2 linked regions of the Schizosaccharomyces pombe genome follow. Changing the gene in region 1 together with any one later gene gives a genetic interaction. Each region holds a gene or a part of one and is shown in the gene's direction. Other genes may lie near its edges. The genes, in order: pho842 and pqr1.

Region 1 (12,740 bases):
ATAATTTTGAAACGAAAAGTAATGCTTCAGTTTTTCATTAGCTCCCTTGCCATCATGGTGATCCACCCATACCAGCAGCCATAGCTAAGTACCAGGTTTTACTAGCTCCGTTATCAATTTTATCAGCAGTAAAGGTACTGGCAGCAAAGGTATTGTATGCAGTTTTTGGATCGTAAATTGCATAATTGGACCATAAAATACCAGTCCAATTGTTTGAAAATGTATTTATTATCGGAGCAATTTTGGCGTTCCAGTCTTGTTGAACGTAAGATGGAGAACGAAGGTATCCGCTGATAGGCGTAGTTGGAATCATGTGAATGCCTTGTTTACAATATTCTTCAGCTGAAAAGTAAGTTGCATAATCAACTTTGTTCATGAATGTAATTCCTGTCACGTAATTGCCGAGAATTTGTGAAGGCTGTACTGAAGTAGTGGGTGTCATGTATATGTAGGTATTTAAACTGTTCTTTAGGACGGCGAGCATCAAGTTTGCACGGTTGATAAGAACAGTATCATTTCTCACCATACCCCACAATTTCGTTGCATACAGAAAGTTGAAGTCTTCTGAGGTTGACTCTTCATCTTTACCGTCTCCACTTTCAAATATACCTGTTGCCCATGAATGTCCAACAAACCAGTCGAAGTTTCTAAACATAGCAAAATAGGTGTCACTTTCACTTGGATTTGCACTGTCTCTTAATAAAGCATTTACATAGCGAATGTTATCATTAACCAGCCAGGAAGGATCCAATAGACCAATTACCGCACATGCGTAAATATGATAACCCCAGTGAAAATGATGGTCATTATAGTAGGTATTACCATAATCTGCTAAAGGAGAACTATATCCTGCCGTACTGATGATACCTTTATATGTGGTATCATAAACGAGGGGATACATTTGCGTATTCGTAGTAAATCTAGCCATGGCTTGCTTCAATTTTGTCAATCCAGTGTTAGTGAGAGTGCTATCACCAAGGATTCTAGAAGCTACCAAACAAACTTGAGCATACATGGCTACTATTTTTCCAGACGTGTACATTGAGTCAAGGTTACTGGCATTTACGACATCGAAGTTAATATCAGTTGCACAAGCTGCACGAATCGCGGCTAAAGCAGTAGGAGAATACGTATTGCTTCCACCATTCCAAGGAATTGGTAAAAAACCTACCTGCGTTGGAAGATTTTTTTCGATTAAATGCCAAGTTTTAGTAGCATAGGCAAACATTATACCCATTGTTGTACTGGCTAAGCCTAAACCTGTTTTGTACGCTTGAGTGTCAGAACCAAAACTTTGCATATGATGGGGAAGAGCAAACATTAGCGGATTTAAGTTAGTATATCCAGCTGTAGCGAAACGAAACCAATATTCCCCGGTGGTACCGCTAACTTGAGCTGATAGAGAAATAGACGTAGTATATACACCAGCAGAAGCATCATAGATGGTATCCGGATATGAATTATTCACGCTTTCGTTTGGAACTTTACATATTTGTATGAGACCGGTAAATTTTGTAGAAGTAGTTAGTTGAGAATTCGAAGCAAGAGTCAAATTGAAGGTACTGCTCGAACTCGTAGGAAATGCGTAGAGAAACCAGATCTTTCCATCTGTCAATTGAATTCTATATTTGTAGCCCCTACTGAAATTTATTTTAGTAATTGATGAGAAAAGGATGGAGGAATTGAATACAGGAGTCAAATTGGTATAATAACCACTTACAAATCCCATGCCAGCAACAATGGGTAGGATTATAGTCCCTGAACCAGAGGTTGTAGCGCTAAGAGTAGCCTGGATAGAGAAATGACGAGATTGGTCAAGGGATAAGAGGTTACCCGAAGCAAATTCTCGTGCAGAAATGATTATGGAATAAAGTCCAGCAGGATTAAAGTAATATTGGCATGGAACCGATTCTGGGTCTGGTCCAAACACGCGTTGGCTATCATCAATATGTGAAATCGCAAGTCCATAATAGCTGCTACCATTGAGCCAAGTTACTGAGTAAGGATGTGACCATGATGGATTATGACGGGTGCCAATGTACAAGTTACCATAAAACTTGTTTGTTTGAATTGGAAACAAATTACTTGTTAGCCCAAGAGGAGGAGATGGGTGTGCTCTTGATGGAAAAACCGGATTGATAGGTCCAGTATAGATTGGTACTAAAACATCCATTATGTCGTCTGACTATGAATTGAGCAAAAAAATTTGATAACGAGTGAAAGAATAAGAAAGGATCGAAGCAAAATTTCTAAAAGTCTAATTTCGGATGCTTTTTCGAACTGTCGATGACGGGTTTTACACTAACGAGAGTTTTAGGAGTATGCCACCTCAAAAATTTGGAACTAACTAAAAAATGAAACAACACTCAATTATTTGTCTTAAATAACTTAGCGAAAGTAACAGTAAAGACGGATAAAAGCACTGCGCTGAGAAATTCACCGGTCCTAAAATATTTATGAATTCACGCAAAAGTACTGAAGAAAAACTGTTAAAAACAGTAGTTATTACTTTCACTATTAAAACCCGATAGAGGGTGAGGACAGGTTGCAAATTCTACTCAAAACTGATATAAACCCCATCTCATGGTATCATTGGTTCAACGACTAAGCTATAATATTAGATCTAAACAAAAAACAAAAGAAACATATTAAAACTTTACAAGTAACTTAATAGATTAATGCAAATACTGCATAAACCTTTGTATATTTATTTATTGATTTTACATACTGCAAGTTTTTGTTTGATTTAATTTAATGCGATATTGTAAGCAAAACATTTTTTAGTAATGCCAAACAATAGTAAATAATTGGAAAACAAATAAAAAAAAGAAAAAGCCAATGTAAATGAAAAGAAAAATAAAAATAAATAAAAAGAAGGATAAATGAAAAGCAAGCTTAAAAAAAATGATCGCAAACACTGATTATAAGCTCTAAACACAGTTAATGCCAAAATTTCATTAAAACACCATTCAACAACAAAACTCTTTCATTCATTCTCGTTCTTGTTTCTTTTTTGTAAACTATCCTACAAACTGTATGGAACATTTGAATTTCAAGCTTATTATTCATGACGGCGGAAAGAGTGAGAGTGCTTAATAAATGTGACGTACTTGAAAGTTGTAGCGACTAGCAAGATCTATTTCAAAAGTGGTTTCTTTCTTAACCAAGTAGTAGGAAATTTTGATAGAGAAATTTATTATGGAAGCTGAGAAGTTTGTACTAATTACAGGGTGTAGTGAAGGAGGCATTGGAAATGCGTTGGCCTTGAAGTTTCATCAAGAGGGTTTTCAAGTCTTAGCAACAGCGAGGCAGGTGGAACGTATGGATAACCTGACAAAAGCTGGCCTTCAAACATTAAAACTCGACGTTACGGATGAAGATTCGGTACGAGAGGTTGAGCAAGAGGTGCGCAAGTTTACCAACGGCTCCCTTCATTATTTAATCAACAATGCAGGAGCTCCCTGTAGTGCACCAGCCATTGACCTGGATATCGAAGATGTCAGTAAAGTCATGGATGTTAACTTTTATGGGGTAATTCGAATGAACAAGGCGTTTCAACATCAACTTATACGTGCTAAAGGAACAATTGTGAACGTCAATTCACTCGTCTCTTATGTTCCCTTTGCCTTTAATGCAGCATACAACGCCTCAAAGGCTGCCTTGTTGGCATATTCCAACACGCTGCGTATAGAACTGGCCCCCTTTGGAGTCCAAGTGACTAGTATTATGACGGGCGGTGTGCAAACCAAAATTCAAAGCAAGCCTCTTGGCACTATGACAGAAGCCGCTATTCCAGAAAATTCAATTTACTATCCATACAGAAAACTAATATTGGAAAACAGAAATCCCGTAGAAAAGTTTGTTACGATTGAGGAATTTGCAGACGCTGCATACCCTCAGTTGGTAGGCCGTGGAAGGTGGTATCAATTATTCAAACCAGGTGTACGCCCTGCACAAATTTGGGCGGGTTACATGAGCAGTGCTGGTAGGGTTGGCTCGATGCTTCCGGTCGAGGTGTTTTCTATGTCTGTACGGTTAATCGTAAAACTGCCGTCAACCGCTGTATGGAGAGACCACACTGTTGATTAATTTCAGTGTTGATAGCAGTCTGATATGTGTTTCTCTTTTTGGAACATTGGCATTGGAATCAATTTTGAAATCGTTGCATGTATTTTTTTGTAATTTAATGTCACACTTTTTTTTATAAAGCAAATGAAATGGAAGAAAGTATTGTCGAGTTTAGGAAAGAAAGATGACATTAAAACGGATGCAATGAAAATGTAAGTAAGACAAAAAAGAAGTAACTTTTTTTTTATTCATTAGATATTCAGAGAACATCCAATATTAGGACAACATCTTTTAAATATATTTTTGACATGCGCGCAGCTAGTATGCAAGTGATTTGTGCAATGACAGTGTACAACAATTCATTAACATGTGGATAAAACTAGGAAAGAAATTTAAAATTGTTAATTTCCTCGAACAACGTACGTATTTTCGGCCGATAAGATAGCTGAATTGCTATAAACCTCTATTCATAAAATACTTTTCCTTTAATTTTTACTTCTATTTGTTTACCAAATAATGAGGGCTAAGACACTGTGGGAGATTCACCTAAACGCATACTATGTGAAACACAATAACGAAATAAAATCACTACCAGGATTACTGTGAGAAAAGCTATCGTACAAAAGCCATTTCACTCCGCGTTATTTATTGAGCAGCGACAGGGTGAATGAGTAAGTAAGTGAGCGATGCTACCAATTCGTAGCACAATGTCCATGTACATTCGAAGAGATTTATATTTGTTGGTGAAATTTCATTTTGTTTAACGCTAAATGTTTTGTAAAAGTATCGCTTTTTTTTTTTTAACCAGAAAATTGTTCTAAGCAGCGCCTTTTGCTAGTGCAACAAGGTGCAGTGGGATACAGGGACATGACTCCCACCTTTCTCAGCTGTACTTTAAATTGCTACTCTCTGGTTAAATGTCCCCCACTTAGTACTTTTTCTGTTTAAATGTTGTAGTAAAGACAGAAAAGTAAAAAGCCTATGTTGCCCCCACATAATCTAGTTGTCTATCCAAAAAGAAAGCCAAGTCAGGCCTTGTTATATTGTATAGCTTAGCTTATCTGTTAAATGTTTTTGCAACAGACATCCAATGCAGTCAATCTGCCCTTCAATAGTTCACTCACTTATAATTAAAAAAACTGTATGGATTCTCCTTTACGTTTGCAAAACCACACACATGTAGCTGTTGAGGCAATTATTTTACATCTTTCCTGATTTTTCCTTTCAAACATGTTTCTCTGTCGAATGTATGTCCCGCCGAATCTGTTTACCTTGTCAAATAAATGTATTTACCCTTATAAATGGTATTCTTATCTTTGTTTCCGATTTGTACATCAATTAACGATGGAGCACATTGACCAGCTGGCTTATATTGAGTTGCGCTACTAATATGGATGCATCGTAGTTCAACTTTGAAACAGCGAAAAGTAAAGCAAACATGTGATTTACTATGTAACTTATCATCATGTTGGGTGATAGGCAATATTAACATTTGTTACAAACCAGAAAACATTAGAAATCGTAGAAAAACGTTGCCTGATCATCGATAGATGCAGGTTGTTTCACCTCAACAAATGACATAATTTCTTTCTCGGCATATGATTAAAAAAAATTTTAAACATACTCAAACTCGACAAATTTCACTATGAAATGTTAGAGATGTGCCTTCCTACCGATTCCCCTTTCGATTTCCCCCTTTCAATTTTTTTAACCGAAATCCCTTTGTCGCAGTTGACCCCGTTTCCCCAGTTGTTGTTTTTTTAACTAGCGTTGGAATTGGTACTGATCCCCAAGTCCCGTTCCCCAAGGTGTGTATGGATGGAAATTTTTAATCTCCCAAGTCGGAGTCTTACTCAAAGCTTCTGTATTCCCTTCTCATAGTTTTTCACATTTCTTCGCATATTCAACGTTTATTACAGATTTGCTTTGAAGTGCAGGATGCGCTGTCCATCCCACATTGTGGATTGGTCAAGTATGCAGAAATTTTGGGGCAAACCGTCCAATTTCGTACAAAACGGTGTTCATCTCATATCGCTCTGCCTTGTTACTCAATGTTAAAGTCAAAACATTTTATGGCGCAAGGCAAGCGGAGTATGTATGCGGCATATGGCTTGTGGGGAAGTCATGAGTAGCTTTTTTGTTGTTGTTACAGTTTGACATCTAGAAGAAAACAAAAGACCAAAAGAAACCTTTGTGAATGTTGGAATGCTACAATATTTCCAACACTTTTTTGCTACACAATTGCTTTCATCTTTTTTTTTTTTGGGGTTTCTTTTTTTCTTTTTTTATTTATTTTTTTTTTAGCTGCAGCCGACATACCATAATCTCCAGCGACGACCCACCTTACTCACTCCAATCTTTGCATCTACTTTTGTTCCATATAGCCTTGTTCAAAACATCCATCTCGAAATAACAAAGTATGGACATCGTCGTTAAACAGATTTAACTTTTATCTTTTTCGTCGGCCTATTTAACATTGAGAGATATAATTTATAGTTTGGTAGCTTTGGACCAATGGATCGAGTGTTTGTTTACCGCTTTTGCGCTGCGACTCCGTGGCGAAAGTGCGCTTTTTGGATGATTGTCAAGTGTGCCATTTTCGACGTAATAATTGGTGAATGTTAAATGACTAATATGTTACATTGAGTCGGTCTTTGAAAATCAACTGTAACAAGCGCCTAAGCATCTTCAGGCAAAAACACTTATTATTTCTTCCTATATAAGTATTGCCTCTGCCGTTTGTCTCAGCGTGCTTTCACCAGTTTGCTGCTTTCGCTATATAGGCAGTCAATTCATCCATAAAAATAAATTCGACTTGATTCGAAATTGCATTTCATCCCATTCTCAATTTCTTTCTCTCCTTTTTTGAAGGCAATTGTCGCTTTAGTTATTACATTTTTTGTTGGAGAACTCACTGACTTCGAATAATTCTTTTTATTTTTCTCTTTCTCCTTTTTTTTTTCTTTTCCTTTTTGAAATCTGTTTTTCTTTTCTAAATTCTACAAATCTTGACCGAATTGTTTCAAAAACCTTCCATTTAATCTGTACATTCTTTCTCTTTGCAGGATTTCCCTTTTTCTATATATAATTTTTTTCTTATTGCAGTTGTTGAAAAACTTTTCTCCCCAATTCAACTCAATTCCTTGATTTGCATTCCTGTTAAACAATCTATTCACTACACTATGAATCGCTTAAATCCTTTTTCAAAATCTCACTCCAAAAACTCCAATGAAAACAACGAAGTTTCCTTGGCTGATGTCGCCGAGTCCGATACTCGTCGCCATTGGCTTGGTTTGACTAAACGAGAATTCAAGCTCATGGGCTTTGCTGGTGCCGGTTTCTTCCTCGATTCTTATGACTTGTTCATCATTAATCTCGTCTCCCCCATTTACGAATATTTATACTGGGGCGGTTTGGAGGGCAAAAAGCCTCACTACCCTTCCGGTATCCATGGTCTTGTCAACGCTGCCGCTAACATTGGAAATGTCTTTGGTCAAATCTTGTTTGGCTTCATGGGCGATTTCTTTGGTCGTAAATTTGTCTACGGTAAAGAGATGATCGTCGTTATTATTGCTACCGTCCTTGTCATCGCCCTTCCCAAAAGTATACCTACTCCTCTTGGTAAAATGATGTGGATCTTTGCTTGGCGTTGGTTGCTGGGTTTAGGAATTGGTGGTGACTATCCTATGTCCGCAACAATCACATCAGAACGCTCTTTGCTTAGTCGTCGTGGTACCCTTCTCTCCATCGTCTTCTCCTTTCAAGGCTTTGGTACTCTGGCCGGCGCCATCGTCACTATCATCCTCTTGGCCTGCTTTGAGAAGCCTCTCAACCAACGTGGCGAGTACACTAAGCTTGAAGGTGTATGGCGTCTTCAAATGGGTTTGGCTTTGGTTCCTGCCCTCCTCGTTTTGATTCCACGTCTCACTATGAAGGAATCCAAGTCCTATGAACAGTCGAAAGCTCTCAACAAGTATACCGACAACGATACCTACATTGCTGACGACGACGAACCGAAGAAAGATAACCAAAACGTTGTTGAAGAAAAGCAAATTAATTTGACCACCTCCTCGGACTCTCACCCTACTTCTACAGAGGATTTTGGAGATAAACGTGCATCCACTGTTCCAACTTCTGAGAATACCAGTGGATTTATCGAATATTTCAGTCAATGGCACCATTTCAAGCATCTCTTGGCTACTGCCGTGTCCTGGTTCCTACTCGATATTGCCTTTTACGGTGTTAATCTCAATCAATCCGTCATTTTAAAGGCCATTGGCTTTAGTTCGGGAAAGAATGAGTATCACACACTTATGCGTGGTGCTATCGGTAATCTCATCATTGCAATTGCTGGTTATGTTCCTGGTTATTGGTTTACAGTTTTCCTCGTTGAGAAACTTGGCCGTAAATGGATCCAACTTCAAGGATTGTTTATTACCGGTTTAATGTTTGCCATCCTTGCAGGTAGTTGGGACACCATTTCTACGGGTGGAAGATTTGCATGTTTTGTCATTGCCCAATTTTTCTCTAATTTTGGACCCAATGCCACTACTTTTTTGTATCCTGCTGAAGTTTTTCCTGCACGTGTTCGTGGTACCGCTCATGGTCTTTCTGCTGCTTTGGGTAAATGCGGTGCCATCTTGGCTTCTCTGTTGTTTAACTTCTTAACATCTGTAATTGGCTATGGCAATGTCATGTGGATTTTCTGCGGCTGCATGTGGGGAGCAATCTTTTTCACTTTGCTTCTCCCTGAAACCAAGATGCGGGATGCCGATGAAATTGATCGCGAAGAAGTTTTGCGCGGTGGTAATGGTAAAACTCACCAGGGCCGCTGGTCTTGGTATTTCAACGGAATTTTCTAAATTATATCATTTACTTAATTTTTTATTATTAAAATTCTTTTTTGTTAAAAAGATAACTTTTTTTGCATATAAAATCATTTCTGGATTTTTGTAGAAATTGAGTTTTTAAAGTTAATTTTTGTTGATGATTTGCAGTCAATGTTAATAATGTTTTGCTGTCGGATTGTTTTTCTTTTTTCTTTTTTTTTTCGTTTTCTTACCGTTGATAAAGCTGAATGAATACGTGTATCGTGCCATTTCCATTTCAGTTTTGTTAAAAGAAAAATAAATTCTTTCACCCATTATTAAGACGATTTCAGCGCTCAAAAGCTCGCATATTTTTTACTTTTACTCTTTCCTTTTTTTAATTTAATTTTAATTCTTTTTCTATCCGGGAATCATCATGTGCGCTTTTTGGAATCGCTAACTGAATAACCTTGACAGTATATTTTTACAAGGTTCCTTTAATATTTATATAATTTAATTTAATTAATAAAAATTTTAATATTGAAATTTGTTATTTATGATTTAATTTATTTTAATGAAAATTTGTGATTTATTAATGCTAGCTATTAGCGCAATTGTTTACATATTACAAATATTTATTAGTTTGCTTGTAAAATTATTTAATGGTTGGATCCTTTTTAAACTTAAGAAATCAATAATATTAAAAAGTTTTTTTTAACAACATGATTGCTGCAGACAAATTTTATGTGCTAATATTTATTTAATTTATTTCCTTCGCAGGTAAAAAAAAAAGACGAGGTAGTTTGTCAATTCACACTAATTTAGCCGGAGATAATATATTTAAAAAAATTTAAATTTGTGATCATTAATCAAACGAATAATCTTTTAACTCTCGAAATAAACTTGTCAATTGTAGCCCTGTAATTCAAGTGTTTGTTTACGTTTAAATTCTTTGGAATGCGTTGTTGTTCCATATTCATTTAGCGAGTTTTAAAGATCGATCCATTGAGAAAAGTAGAACGTAATATCACTTTTAAAAGAAATACGGTGCGCTTCTTTATTTTATCCCAACTGAATTCATTGTTAGTGCTACAATTATGAGAGAATGACTTCGTACGGTGAATCTGCTAAACTGTTAGACGTCCACTGTAAATCAAGACTTAAGTAAGAACAATGGATTCACAGCTTTCTGAAAATCTTCTTAAATGGTACGTTTAGCTCGTAGATACTCAGTGTCTTTAAATTAACAAGAATTGCTGTAGCGTGAATGAAACTTATCGTGGAGCAATGTTAGTCAGGAATGGACTCCCAATTGCAAGTATGTAAAATCTAAAAAATAAAAAAAATACACATATTGTATATTCATAAGTCTTTGTTTAATTCTCAATGCTTTTGTTTTTGAGTGATTTATGAATCAGTTGACACATATCATTCAATCTCTCTTTATTAAGTGACTTAACACTTTGCTAACTTTTACTAAAGCAGCCGGAGATGTGAATGCAGAAGAACAGCGTGTCATCTGCGAATGGAACAGCAATGCCGTTTCTGAAGTCTTGCATCTACATGACAGCAATACGAAGATCTTAATTGCAACTAAAGAATCATGTGTTCTAGGATTAATTTATCGAAATACATAAGGGTGTTCAATTTAATGTAACATCTTTCTATCTTTAAAAACTTGCCCTTAATAGAATTAATGGTTTCGCTGGCGTTTGCTAATATCTTTTTCTGCTCCTTTTTTTATAATTTTTTTTTTAGTTGTGAATTCATGCTTTCGCTTTTTTAGTAAATTGTTAATCCGCTATGGCCTTATTCTCTATCTTTTGGAGGCTCCATGTCTTGTTTGCATTGTTATATATTAGAAAGTACCATGCTATATATATTTTCAAATTTGTAATATATCATTATAAGCTTTATAGTTACCTTCGGTATCAGACTGATCAGTTGTAAAGACAAATAATCTTCTCTTAAGCATTTAGTATCTAACCTTTAGTTACATGGGTAATTTTACCATTGGAATCAGTATGGAAATTCACCCTATTTACGGAGCCTGTTAGTGCTATTTCACATTTAGTAAGACATACCTATCTGGCATAAAGTCCCTGGTACAGAAAGAATTGGGTTGTAATACTCGGTAGCTTTTTGGGAGTTCGCTTTCCTCGACAGTCTGTCGAAATTTTGAGTTAGTTGTAACGAAAGAATATAAAAAAACAACAACTATGAACATCTAATTTAATGCATACCGCTCGAGGATCATCTTTATTTGGGAAAATATATTTTCCTACTAGCTTACGCTCTTCAAAAGGTTTATCGCCATGTCCTGGGTTGCGTGATGGATTCATCGTTTTCAAATATGTACCAATACGGGCTAATTGAATGGTAAAGAGTCAATTGATTAAAGTCTCAGTGTAAAATTACTAAATTTGTAATAAGCGAATGCTCGACCTACGGATATACACTGTTTTGGTATGGTGCTATGGGTAAATACAGTGAGACTAAGTATCCATCTAATAATGCTTTGCTAATTATATAAAGTACAAGTGATTAACTTATTTGCCAGCAGTTACCTCATGCAACCTTTCCTTTTACTCCATCTACCAACTGAGAATATGTTTGATTTCACTAAACTACTATACCTGTTTTCATTTACTGACTCAGTATGTTACGCACCAAAGGATACGATGCATCTTACAAAGTAGGTACAGGAACAGGCGAAGCAGGAAAGATGGTTGAGTATGGAGTGTAGCATACACTATTTATGAAAATATGGCTCTACATGGTCGATTCATGCAGATGATAGGAGCCTACCTTATCGATAATGCAATCTTGGTTTAAACTGTTTCTAGCCGGCGTTATAAATGAATAATAAACGAGATTATGAGAAATCAATATTATTTCAAGCATCCAATCGAATTTTTTATTATGTTTAAAATAAACTCAATTGAATATTAGTAACGCAAAAATGCTGACTCCCATAAGTCTCAATCGTAGTGGTTGCAAATTTTCATATATAGAATAGATTCCTAGAGATTTCCTTTTGGTACTGTAATTCTAAGATATTGCTAATATGGCAATTTATATTCTATTTTATCTTCCTATGAATAGTATTCTTCGCTAACGTCTATATAATTGATATCCTTCTAAAAATAAAACAGTTAGGAATTAATTAGATTTCCATAATTAAATTGCGTTCAACACCTCATTTTTCAATGTGAGTTGTCCGAGAATTGCATTGAGTGAAGTCGCAACCGGAGATGCATTAGTCGTATGATATGCTTTTCTTAATAAATAATGAATAGGATTTGAGTATAATGAAGGGTGATTATTCAAACATTCAGCGACTGTAGACATGTCCATTTCCTGAGACTTGCTTAATGGTAAATATCCGCTCACTGACTTATCTGCTACATAACGTTTCAAAGACCAGCATAAGCGGCTTTGCAGAATGGGACGAATAGTTAGGCTAACATGTTCATAAGATGAATTGTAATCATCCAAAAGTATCGAGAAACAATCTACAGCTATTCGTTGCCTTCGATTAGAAACAGGGGATTCGGTAGATGGAAAGAAGTTTCGAGCTGCTTCCTTTTGTATATCCAAATTACTTCTAGAGATGACCATATCCTCTGTATTTCGCATTTGATAGTAAAACGACCCTTTACAAAGAGTAATATAATATTGGGCAACTTCATCAGATAAACAGTTTAATTGCAAATGCGGTTTCCACAAATTATGTAATTGTTTCAAAGACGAAACATCCTCATTTTCAAAAACATCTTCTAGGCTCCAAACATACTCATAATCAGCATTAGGAGAAATTATAGAATTTGTAGCTTCTACTGTAAGTAGAAATAGACACTGCAT
Region 2 (12,537 bases), 1.9 Mb from region 1:
AATATAAAACGTTTATCGTTCGATAGTAACTAATTTGATTTTACCCGAAGATTAAGAACAAGAAATATATGATTCATTCAAACTTTTATATTTCCAAAATTTTTTTAACAGGATACCACAAACTCATGATGTATTATTTCATTTAAATCTCAAAAACCCACAAAATCTATTTCCAGGTTTTATTGAATGCATGATTTATTAAATATATATACCTCTTTAACATTCATTGAAAAAGTGTATATCCTATTAAGGAAGATCAGAAAGTATGTGTTTTTTTAAATACAACAGCAAAGTTCCGATTGACAAATTATATGTTAGCTTCTGTGACGCCGAAATTTACGTTTTTTTAATTTGTAAGAGGAATAATTCTGGCTTACTTGTTTTCCAATAACAAGCCCGTTTCTCATAATCTTTTTATTTTGTCGTTCACTCTGCAGATCTAAAAATGGTGACGAATCTTTGCTAGCAGTTGTATCTTCATTGTCGTCAATGCCATTTTCCGCATCTTCGTCTATTTCAGGAAGACCTTCTAAATGACTTTTGGAAAGATTCATTGAAGGGGGCACTAAAACGTTAGTTCAGGTACAAACAGGAGAAAACCTTACATTTAACAAGACGATTTTGTCGTTTAATTTTTTTCTTCATAGGTTGTGATATGTCTCTATCTACAAGGCTTTCTGAAGATGAGCTACTAAAGCTTTCAAACTCCTGCAATATCTTCTCTTCATTTGATCCGTAATCATCTTCAATATCTTTTAACTCACGAAGCATTTCACTGAGACTTTTTCGGCATGGCGCATTAACTCGAAGTAAGTTAGGAGATGTATAAACTTGAAGGCGATATGAAGAGGGGGTTTCAAGAACGGTGGGAGTATGTTGAGCCACAGGTTCGGGATTTTTTGATGGAGTAGTCGGTATCATAGTTGATGAAATTTCACTAGTGTTATGTTTTATATCCGAAATTTGATCCACATGAGAATCTGCAATGGGAGACATGTCTTCAAGAAGGTTAAGTACTCGACGTGACAACTGTGGAGTAGGACCTAAAAGACTTTTATCCACAGTTTTCGGAGTAACCTGTAGATAATCATTTCGGGGCGCTTTAGGACTCTCGTTCGCTTCAGTTTCAGCACGCTGTTTTGTAGGAGTTTGAAACTTAAAGTCGACCTTTGTTTTTGCTTTTTTAGGGGTAATGGAGGATTCGCGTTTCAACTCGTAGTATTGCTTATATAAAAGCGCTAAAAAAGTTCGTTAGTTTGCTTCAAAAATTCAAGTGTATCTTTGGCTTACATACCTATTTCTGGTTGTTTCTTCACATCCTCCTTAGAAGGTTTGCAATTGTTCGTATGGACGTACTCATGTTCCCACTTCTTTAAGAGCGCTTTTATACTAGATATTTGTTTAGTTCGTGATTCATCGTGCATGATTTGCCAATTAATGCACTGCCTGGACCCAATTTCAATTTTGTAGTGTTCGATTCAAACAACTGCAAAAACAAACTCAAAACAAAAAGAGAGGCTAATCTACATAAACATATATTTCTTCTAATTCTATATGTGGAGAAATACCATTGCACAGAGTTTGATACGTATCTCGAAATGCAAAGTTGAAATGTTAATTATGCTTTAAAAGTAAAGTAGATGCACTAATGAATGCTCCATTTTACTGCTGAATGTTTACGCATACGTTAAGCAGTTTTTTAAATTTAAATAACGTATAACGTTTAAGTACGCTGTCGTTTCCTTTTGATTTATGGTTGAGCTGTATGTAAATAACCTTTGTTTTTAGCTAAACTTATTACAATATGACTGTTCAAATCGATGAATTGGACGACAAAGATTTGGATGAGATAATTGCAAACGGAACACTTGATGGCGCGTAAGTGTGAATACTGAACAATCTTAACTATGGACTCGATTGAGCCTCTAAAATAATGAAAATTCTCTAACAATTTTCTTATAGTAAACAGGGAGCTGTGGATTCAGAGACGATGATTCAATATTATCGCCATCTTTTTCCGTGGAAATATTTATTTCAATGGTTAAATCATGGTCCGGTAGTCACTAATGATTTTGCTCATCGGGAGTTCGCGTTCACACTTCCTAATGATGCTTATATTCGTTATTTATCTTTTTCAAATTGGGAAGAGTTAAAAAAGGAAGCTTTAAATTTATGCCCAAGCCGATTTGAAGTTGGACCCGTTTATAGTGCCAATCCCAGGGACAGGAAAACAATAAGGAAGTCAACATTTCATCCGCTTAAAAAGGAACTCGTTTTTGATATAGATATGACTGACTACGATGATGTACGAACCTGCTGCTCAAAAACAAATATATGCGAAAAATGCTGGCCATTTATTACGATCGCAGTTCAAGTTTTAGATATTTGTTTTCATGAGGACTTTGGATTTAAACACATATTGTGGGTATACTCTGGTCGAAGAGGTATTCACGCTTGGATTTGTGACGAAATTGCTTGTTCTTTAGACGATCGGTCTCGTAGAATGATTGCCAGTTATTTACAGGTTGTAGTAGGTAATCCTCAAGGTGGCGTACGACTTATTAATAACTTAAAAAGACCCCTTCACCCACATTTGACTCGTTCTCTCAACATTCTCAAATCGGCCTTTGTAAAAATTGTCCTTGAAGACCAAGATCCGTGGGCTTCTAAAGAAGGAGCCGAAAACCTTTTGAAATTACTACCAGACAAGGATTTAGCATCTGCTCTTCGTAAAAAATGGGAGGTTGATCCTGAACGATCTAGCAAAAATAAATGGTCCGACATTGACACTGTCTTAGCATCTGGTTCTATTGCCTCTATATCTCCTTCAGTAATTGCGATTGCCAAGCAGGACATTGTTTTAACCTATTTGTATCCAAGATTGGATGTTGAGGTTTCTAGACATTTAAACCATTTGCTAAAATCTCCATTTTGCGTCCACCCCGGAACTAGTCGTGTTTGTGTTCCCATAGATATAGAGAGGATGGATTCTTTTAATCCTTTGAAAGTACCCACTGTGAATGATCTTTTGCAAGAGTTGGATAAAAATTCCCAAAATGATAACGGCCATGGTCCAACAATGGAAACTAATACAACAGAAAACCAAAAAGATAATGCTAGGGGACAATCAAACAAGGGGCATGGCTTTTCAACTTCTCTCAATCCTTATACGCTGTACTTTAAATCGTTCAGTAGCCAGCTTTTTAAAGAAACAGTAGGAAATAAAAGAAAACATGAGAATTTGGAATTTTAAAATCGTATTTCAACAATCGATTCAAGCTTTAACTAAAAATTTGGGCATACATTTACTCATGAAAGGATGGAAGCTCTGACTTCTATTTACGTGGAGCATATTGTTTTCCGTTAAATCGACAGTAATAATATATTTTTTAATACCTCTTTATTTATCCTTTTTTGCTAAATACATTATAATAATAAAAACCAAAACAAATCAAAAGCATAACTAGTATGATTTTAAACTAGCGATTTAATTTTCTTTTTCCAATTCACTATCAGATTGATTTGACTGAGACCTAGTATCCTCAGAAACATCAAACGATTCGTCGCTTTTAAGCAAAATTCCCTTTCTTTTTGGAATGACCTCCATGAATGCCTTTTCCCAATCTCTGTACTCTAACCAAAGAGATAATATTTCAAAGACCTGATTAACCGTAAGTATTTTCCTATCCGTAATTTTAATGTATTCATCAATTGGAAGCTTTGCAGTTTTGATCCCTTGCTCAGACGCTTTATTTTGACATAAATTTTTGTACCGATTCTTGTCGACAATCGCACCAATAATATAAATCTTGTCTTCATCGAGTTCGGTGATGGTGTTATCTGAATCAGCAGAAAGATATACTAATTTTTCTTTTTGGGATTCAAATTCCTCTAAATAAGACTTAGTAGTTGGGTTGTATCGTTTCCAATTATTTTGTTGCCCCTTTAGCACAAAATCTTGTCTGGTTTTCAAACGTCCACCAAAGTTGGTAGCAAAAAGTTCTACAGGATGTAAAGCTGTACGATTTGCAGAATGACATCTAGTAACCTGTTGACATAAAGAGTTGATTTCTTTATCGTTCATCAGATCATCAAATGCACAATCCAAAACAATTCGGATACTACTAGGAACGACCTTTCCTAGTCTGATCCTCTTCTTTTGACTTTTAACTACTTCGCCAGCTTCAATTTTTCGCTTTCTTTCCTCTTTTCGTAATCGCTTTTTTTCCCGGCGCATCTCTGCTCGCTTTTCACGACCTGCATCCCACTCTTGCTGTCTTTTTAATCTTTTTAATGCAGATTTGCTAAGAACGGGTTGCTCTTGAGTTTCATTTTTAGAAACGTCAGCTTCAGAAGTATTTGTGTCATCTTTACCAATATCTAAAGCGTCTTTGTTTTCCATAATTTCCCAACTTTATTGCAGTCAAAATATAGCCTAAATTTATCTAGTTATATCGTTATTTTGAACCTAGCCAGGCTGTTCATCTAATGGAAAAAGTAAGAGTGTTGTGAAGTATAAAAAGTTGGTAACTACGCCAATCTCGCAATTATTAACTTTGGGTAATAAAGGGATTCAGGAAGTCGAAAATAAAAAAATTTTGCAAAATTGTATTATTTACAAACTTCGACAAAACAAGCTTTGAAAAATGGCAACAAACGATCAAAAAATCGATAACAAATCGACGGTATCAAATATGCTTGAAAATCCTATGTTTCAGACATTTTCAAAAAAAGAAACAGAAAAGCCATCACTATCTGAATATATGGAACAACTTACTTCAGAGTTTGGAGAAGAGCTAGACAATTTAAGGCAAAAGGAAATTTTTGATCATAACAAACTACAATTGCTTATTGAAAGTTTGCGTGCTGGTCACAAAATTTATGAATAATGGTTTATATAACTTAGCAAAAAACAGACCTGTATTATTCTATTAAAAAAGATAAGCTTGCGGTGCTAATCTTGATCCAACTTATCGTCTTCGTTCAAAAAACCATCTTCGGATGCTGTATAAAACTCGTTATCAGAGATTTCGACAAAAGTAAATGTTTTTTCTATTTCCTCAAAACTTCTCGTATAGAAGTCAGAGGAAGAAACTTTGTTCGAATATGGGGATTCGCTAGGAGCATCTTCGGGTTGTTTATTCGATTCCGCGTTTTTCTGGGCTTCTTTTGCGTGCTTTTTTATTTCTTGGTTCATTTTCCTTAAATTTTTTTTATGTTTTTTGCTGTTTTCATGGTTCTCCAATTGATTTTGTGATCGAAAGTTCTTGTTACAAACCATACACATTATTGGATTTGAATTCACAATTTCTTTGCTCAAAGATTCATCATCGCTGGATGTTTCTTCCTGATCGATTATTGTCCAAGACGCAATTGATTGGTTTTTAAAAGTTTCCTGGTACTGACGCCGATCACGTTCACTTTGCTTTCGCGATGCTTCTTGTAGGGAGTTGTATCTTTCTCCATCGCTTAGTTTCACAACGTTTTTTCTCCGTGGATCAAGATCACATGCTTTTCCTATTAAATCTCTGACAAGTTCGTTATATCGCTGAATGCAGTATTGTATCTGCCTTTGATTTTGTCTCTTCATTAATCGCCGTGTAGCTGCATCACTTTCCTCTTCTTCATTATATAGAGCTTCCCATTCAAAAGATTTTTTCGTTGAAAATCTTAGCCATTTTTGATAAATAGGTTTGGCATACGTCCAAAGCCAAGTTGTGTCCCCTAAAGTTGGAAGGTCGTCTGTGGAACCCGCTATTTTTTCGTCTTGTCGCAGTCTTTCAACGAACGCTGAGGTGCTTTCAAAAGGGATTTTCTCAATTGTTTGTAGATGCTGCAAAACGTCTTCAATTTGTACAGAATATTGGTTTCTTAGATAGTCTTTTTCATGCCATTTTCGTTTATCATCATTAGAGAGAATATTGTATGCAGCGTTTATTTGGGAAAATATTTCGTTATAGTCTTCAATGCCCGGATTTCTATCGGGATGATATTGCAAAGCTAATTTTCTGTTATGATTAGTAAAGATACACAAAGGCGATCAATTCTTCACAACTTAAACGATTATGTTTTAATCACAGATCGAAAAGCTGTAAATTTATATTCTATGTTGATTGATTAAGTTGAAAACAAGTTTTCATACCGGTAATTTGCTTTAATCTCTTGCAAGTCAGAGTCATGATTCACTTGCAAGATTTCATAGCAATCCATATCCTTAAAAGGGTTATTCATGATTGGTGATAAATAATTTGCATAAAATCATAAGTTAACCAGTAAAAGACTTATATAAAGTAGCTTCAAAGACAAAATTCCAAGGCCGAGGAGTGGAATGAATTATCAACCGCAATTGAGATTGCTTGTGATAAACTAACAATTCAATTCTACAATTGAAATACAAAAAAAGCAAAAAAATTGAGAGTTGCCCGTTCAATCGCCAAAATACAATACCTTCAGTACGTTCTATGTAAAATGGTGATCTTTCTCACAAACCGGCGACAATAGCTCCCAACTGTGTTTCAAAAAATGTAGAAAGAGACAAAAAGGCGAATTGACGAGAAACAACGAATCAAAATACTGTTAATGCTAAAAAATAAAGTAATATGCTATGGGTAAATTAAATCTGTGTTGACAAACCCGCAAATACATAATATGGTGTGGTCCCTCACGTCTCGCCAATGCTGAAGTAAATAAATACAACAAGCGAAACATAAGTTAAAGTTGTGTACGAAATCATTTGAACCCTAAATAAATTTGTGTTCTATACATGCAAACTTTAGACAGTTTGAAATCCGAAAAATCACTTTTGTAAAAAATGAATATATGAATAAATATATATATTAACATATATTGATATATGTATAATCTTAATACAGTTTACAAACTACTGTCTTCTTAATTAAGAAAACATGGTTCTCATGAAAACTTATATTGTTATTTAAGGTCTTGCTGCTATATATGCATTAGCAAAATGCACATTTCCAAAAAATGAAGTTAAAATTATCAGTTTACAAAAGACATTGAACTAAAGATCAAATTTTTCCACAACCGAATTAAAATGTAAGATTGTGTTTTTTAGAAGAAGCCAATGCGCTAATAATAATGCCATGCTTGCATTGCTTAAAAACAAACGAACTTCTTGCCTTCATGTAGCAAGGCTATTATCACGAATTTTCATGTTAATTTCGCTATGAATGCTTGGTCTTTTCTGAGTTAATCAATACTATTTAGCTAAGGTTTCGCTCATATAGAATACGAAAATTTCGCATTTATTAATGCAAATTTCCTCGATGTTTTTAATATATTGTGTTGCTAATCTGACTATATAACACTGCCTCTTCAAGGGACAAATAGTTTTAACAAAATTTGTTTACATTATTGAGTCAAGCAATTACGACCCGATGTTATAAGCATTACGCAGATTTCTTTTACAAAAGGGAGGTCTCTTTCATTTACCCCAAGCTTAGCATTACAAAATCATGTGCAAATGAGAAGACTACTTTTAGGGAAAATAAAAATCTAAACTTGATTGGAAAGCGAAAGTTTAAATCCTAAATTGTTTGAGGTTGACGTGTTAGTTTTTCACCGTAATAAGTAAATAGCATTGTATAATGAATAAAAGAAAAATTTTGATAGTTTAACAATTGCTGCTATTCATATTTTAATAGAATCTCAAAATTCATACTAATCGACTTTCTTATCCTTCTATATTCTTCAATATTTCAAACTCGTTTTAAGTCTCTCCTATAGCTTGGGATTATTCAATGAAATTGTAATTGTCGTCCTTTCCTTTACATTGTGAATACTAAAAAATTGCTTCTTCCAGAATTGTTTTATTGACTCACGGATTTGCAACATGTCCTTCTCCTCTTTTTTTTTTTTTTTTCTTTTTTTTTCTAATCTGTAAAAAAACCAAAATTTTACAATCTCGATAATCCTTTTAATGTCTATAGTCATCAAACACGTTTATCTACTTACTCAATACGATAATGTACAATAATTCCATACGAAACTTGCCCTTATCTGTTTTAGTTTTTTGTGGCACACCGTTAACTAATCGTGAATAAAATGGTTATTACAGTCATAGTCCGGTTTAATCGGATCAATCAAATATAATTAGATACCTACTTATTATCATATACATACAAAATTAAAAACAATACAAAAAAGAGGAAAACAAAGAGGCTCAACTTCTTACCGACTATCCTTTATCTCTCTTTTTTTTTTATTTTTTTTTATTTTTTCTCTTTTGGCACAGTGCTACAGAACATTTGTTCAACAACCCAACTCTGTACGTTTCACACATTGTCAGCAAATTGTTGACAATCAGCACAAGCCTCATTCTATAAAGCTAAGGAAGATTTCGTACCACTGCTGGTCTTCCAATTGCCCCTGCTTCCTTTCCTTTTACTGTAAGGCTTACCGGAAGGCCGTTTACTAATAACATTGCGAACCCGAGTGCGGTTGGGTAGTATTACCTATACCGCAAGTTCCTCCGCTCTTTTTATGACGTCAGGGGGAAATGCTTTGGTTTGCCACCTTGCGTCGTCTAACGCGGTGCAATATAAGGATGCGAAAGGACTGCAAGGATTTTCACCTGTCATGAACCAACAAGGATTTTGACGATTAGTACAGTGTTAAAACTTTTGAAATAGTATCGAAAATTCATTTACTATATGTATAAGTATTAAGGAGTTACGCATCTCTTTACAATTTTAAACACTCACGTACCTTTGGTTGAATCAAGCCAGGCAGGTCTCCGTTTGCGAACGACGGTTTCGGTTGATTCGAAACGTGGTATTAGAAAATCATTTTATTTATTTTCATTCCCATTCCATTTATCTATTCTATCTAATTTCGTCCCATTGTAGCTTGTTGTTTTATCACAAGCAGCTTTTAGGTCTTTGGGCTGTTACTTTTTTCTTCACTTCATTCCATTACTAATATATATATATTTTAATCAAAACGTACGCAATTCAACTCTGCGAAACTCTATCTTGCAAGCTTTCTTTCTCCATCTGCTTGTAATAAAGAAAATACTTAACTCCGATACTTCGATTGCAAAGGTCGGAGCACTCATTTTTATAAAAACCACAAAGCTTTCTCCTTCTTGGGCTTTGGTTTTTTATTCTGTAGTTTTACCGCCTTTCAAATATTTTGATTTCAATCTTTTGTAAAGGTTTCATCCTCTTTCATTTTCATTGAAAAAAAGTCCTTCCGATATGAAATTTGGACACGATTTTAAAAGGGCTCTCGAAAACGATATGCCCCCTGGTTGGGGCGAGGCTGCCATTCAGTACAAGGCCTTAAAAAAATGTATTAAAAGGTTCGTTTTTGAGCTGTCTTCCTTGGGTCTAAGTGCTGAGACCATCAGTAAATTGATGGCTCCGACTACCGTGGATCCCCAACAAGCTATTACGCTTAGTTACTCCCTTGGCAAAGAGGGACACATTGTTGTCCCCAAAATTATTATCAACGTAAATTTTGATAAATTGAAAACTGATAAGTTCGCTGCTTCAATGTTCAAGCAGTTGAATGCATCAAATATGATTACAACCGTCAGGAGTAATTATGCCTCAAATGTTCCTTCTACTCCTTCGGATTCTACTCAGCAGCCCCCTACCAATACGTTACCAAGTGTGTCCGCATCATCTCAGAGCGTAGAGACTTGTGAAACGGTTGATGAAGATATCGATACTCAAACTATGAGTTCTGACATGTCCGAAGTTCAAAGTATGGAAATATCGTTGAACTGTGACCACGAGTTTTTTGAAAAATTAACTTCGGAGTTGCAAAGTGTTGAAGGACTACAGCGTGAACAGCGTAAAATTCTTTTTAACGCAATTGATATCCTGAGTCATGAAATATCTCTTATAGCTTCCCCTAATTCCAAAAAGAAATACAAATCTCTTTATTGCTGGAGAAAAATTTTCGAAATTTATATGGATTCCGATATATTTATTTCTTGCAAGGAAGCTGATCAGAGTCATGAACGCACTCCCGAGCTCGCTGAGCGCCATTTGAAATGGTTTGACGATCAGGTCAGGCTAGCAAAATGTCTTCCCTCTTCCTCAAAGCATCGTGATCGTATTTTGTATGCTAAGTTTCTTGAACTTAATGAAAGTTTGTTGAAAGTTGCTTCTTTTCAGCAAATGAATAAGTTAGCCGTTACGAAGATCATGAAAAAGTTTGATAAGCGGACATCCTTAACCGCTCAACCTCTATTTTTTCAAGTTATCGAATCAGACCCTCTTCTTTTGGTCGACAATGCTTCTAAAGCTATATGCTTTTCACTCTCTTCTAAGCTATTCTCGATTATTCCTCAACTGAGGGATTTTGAATGCGCTATATGCTCTAACGTTGCTTACAAGCCGGTGAGATTAGGTTGTTCCCATGTTTTTTGTTTGCATTGCCTTATCATTCTTCAGAAACAGAAAGTTGATTTCTGTCCGTTGTGTCGTGCCAAAGAAGTTATGAAAGCCGATTCTCGCAATATTGATCACGCCTTGATGAATTTTATGAAAACATATTTCCCAAGAGAGATTAAGGAAAAGTTTGAAGAAAATGAGAACGATACGTTTACTCCTTCTTCAATTTCTGTTGTATCAGGTCAGAACAATTGTGTGATAATGTAGATAGACGACGGATTTGTTTCCGCTAAATTCCCAACCCTCTCTTAAAGGCTCAGGACTATTTTTTACTCACTATATTTGATTATCTGTTTTTTTATGTTTTCCTTGCCTAATTTGCATACTAACTTTCTATTTTTCTTTCCTCACCTAACTTTTATTGCTGTAAATAGCATTTTCGTGTGTTTCTTTGTTATAAACGTTTGCTTATAATTCTCGGTTTTTTCTTATATTTAGCTTTTTTAAATGCTTGTACATAATACTTGCTCATCACATACCATTAATCTTTACTAAACCGAACATATTTTTTAAAAATCAACATAGACAATAGACATTTATAGAATTTTAGCTTACAAAAGCTGTGTAATGTTTTAGGAAATCGTATTCGTAACTTAAATTTACCAAATTTGAACTCATTATTCATATTATTCGGAAGTTCTTGTAGTCAACCTCTGATGTATTTGTAAACTTAACGTAACTTTCAGCAACTAAACATTGATAGTCCGAAAAACAATGCTTTTATCTCAATTCCTAAGTTACCCACTTACAGTGTTTAATATGTCTCTCTTCACAGATTTTAATGAATAATTGTGCTATGGGTAGTAGTTTTTGTGTTTGGAACACTAGCAAAAGCTGTTTTTTGCTTTCTAAAACCGACTTTACCGGAGCATCAAGAAGTCCTTTGCCACGATTTCACTGAAAACTCCGAATGAACAAGATTTAAGATATTTGACAACGTTTAAATCCGAGTATTTCGCGGAGTAATTTAAGGCTGTTTACAACTATTACTAACTCAACCTAATATCGGAGTAGTTTTGAGCGTTGTACTTTTTTGTTATAAGTGGAAGTAATTATACTTCACCAGCTACTAAATATTCTAAGTGGTAATGGAATATATAGTGTCATTACTTAAAGGTCACATAGACTGAAAAAAGGAAACGTTTGGATTTTTTTGATGAATATATTCAACTATACTACTCTGATTTTTCGCCGTTTAAGCTCTACCTTCAAAGCTTCAAACAAAGCCTCTATAGAGTGGAAAAAGCAGAACATAGCGGTCAAACGAAAAATTGGAGGCTATTGGAATCCAAAAAAGAAACTTCCTTTAGAATCTATGGACGAAATTCGGCGTCTAAAGAAAGAAAAATCATCTATGTCATGTTCAGAATTGGCAAAACTATATGGAGTTTCACCTGAAAGTATTCGCCGAATTTTGAAATCCTCTAATAGACCATTAGACGATCGGGAGAAATCTCGTAAAGAAAAACGTTGGTTGAATAGTCTTAAAAGTAATCGTGATTTTGCATAGATTTATATACTTTTTTGAGTTGCCTTGAAATAATTCGATCTGTAATGTTGGAATCAATTGTTTATGAACTAAAAGTGAAGCTTCTCCTACCTACAGTAGTAAGGGTTTTGAATTATTCAGAAGAAAAGTATGAGCAATACTAGAAGACTTTTAAATTGCTACGAAATCACCATTCAATAAGTTACAAATTTCGACTATAACTTGATGAATGTTCATTTTAAAGTAATACAAAAACTATTATTACTTGTATTAAAAAAGCTCCATACACTACTTACAGAATCGGAACAGTGCTTTTTAAAATTCTTTTGCAATGAGAAAGCGTTGAACTTCTGCTTTTAGAGTACCAGGGTTGGTAATACAGTAGAGCTAATAAGTTGCTTTACAAGAGGCGCACAGCATCTAGCGATTAGAATTTTAACACCACTTGCTTACAAATTTAAAGCATGCAAATCAACGGTCGACAAAGTGCTTTCGACAACTAGTAAACAAACCAATTATGAAGCGTTTGATAGGTGCTCTCTATCAGTGTGATATATTTACAAAAAAAATAGAAATTGTAATAAAATACGAAAACTCGTTAACGTACAATCCACAATGTTTCGA

The links.
Region 2: of pho842 (region 1) and pqr1, a mutation in one rescues a mutant of the other (synthetic rescue), as found in Schizosaccharomyces pombe (one study listed by BioGRID).

Annotation. Positions count from the first base shown.
Region 1 is NC_003424.3:4,355,651-4,368,390, forward strand, and holds pho842 (inorganic phosphate transporter), read left to right. Parts: upstream 1-6,817; 5' UTR 6,818-7,250; coding exon 7,251-8,930; 3' UTR 8,931-9,475; downstream 9,476-12,740. Other genes in the region: cell wall and ascospore endo-1,3-beta-glucanase Eng2, read right to left, coding at 53-2,173; ayr1 (1-acyldihydroxyacetone phosphate reductase), read left to right, coding at 3,199-4,089; Ragulator-Rag complex subunit Lam4, read left to right, coding at 10,050-10,084, 10,139-10,194, 10,359-10,513; SPOM_SPAC23D3.17 (uncharacterized protein), read right to left, coding at 10,859-10,913, 10,961-11,043, 11,120-11,218; SPOM_SPAC23D3.13C (guanyl-nucleotide exchange factor), read right to left, coding at 12,057-12,740.
Region 2 is NC_003424.3:2,419,885-2,432,421, reverse strand, and holds pqr1 (ubiquitin-protein ligase E3), read left to right. Parts: upstream 1-8,595; 5' UTR 8,596-9,218; coding exon 9,219-10,631; 3' UTR 10,632-10,976; downstream 10,977-12,537. Other genes in the region: drc1 (DNA replication preinitiation complex assembly protein), read right to left, coding at 315-565, 606-1,238, 1,295-1,424; DNA primase catalytic subunit Spp1, read left to right, coding at 1,805-1,878, 1,963-3,253; tRNA m(1)G methyltransferase Trm10, read right to left, coding at 3,488-4,402; ribosome assembly protein Rsa3, read left to right, coding at 4,647-4,889; epr1 (ATPase co-chaperone protein), read right to left, coding at 4,955-6,008, 6,143-6,231; protein Rrg9, read left to right, coding at 11,581-11,934.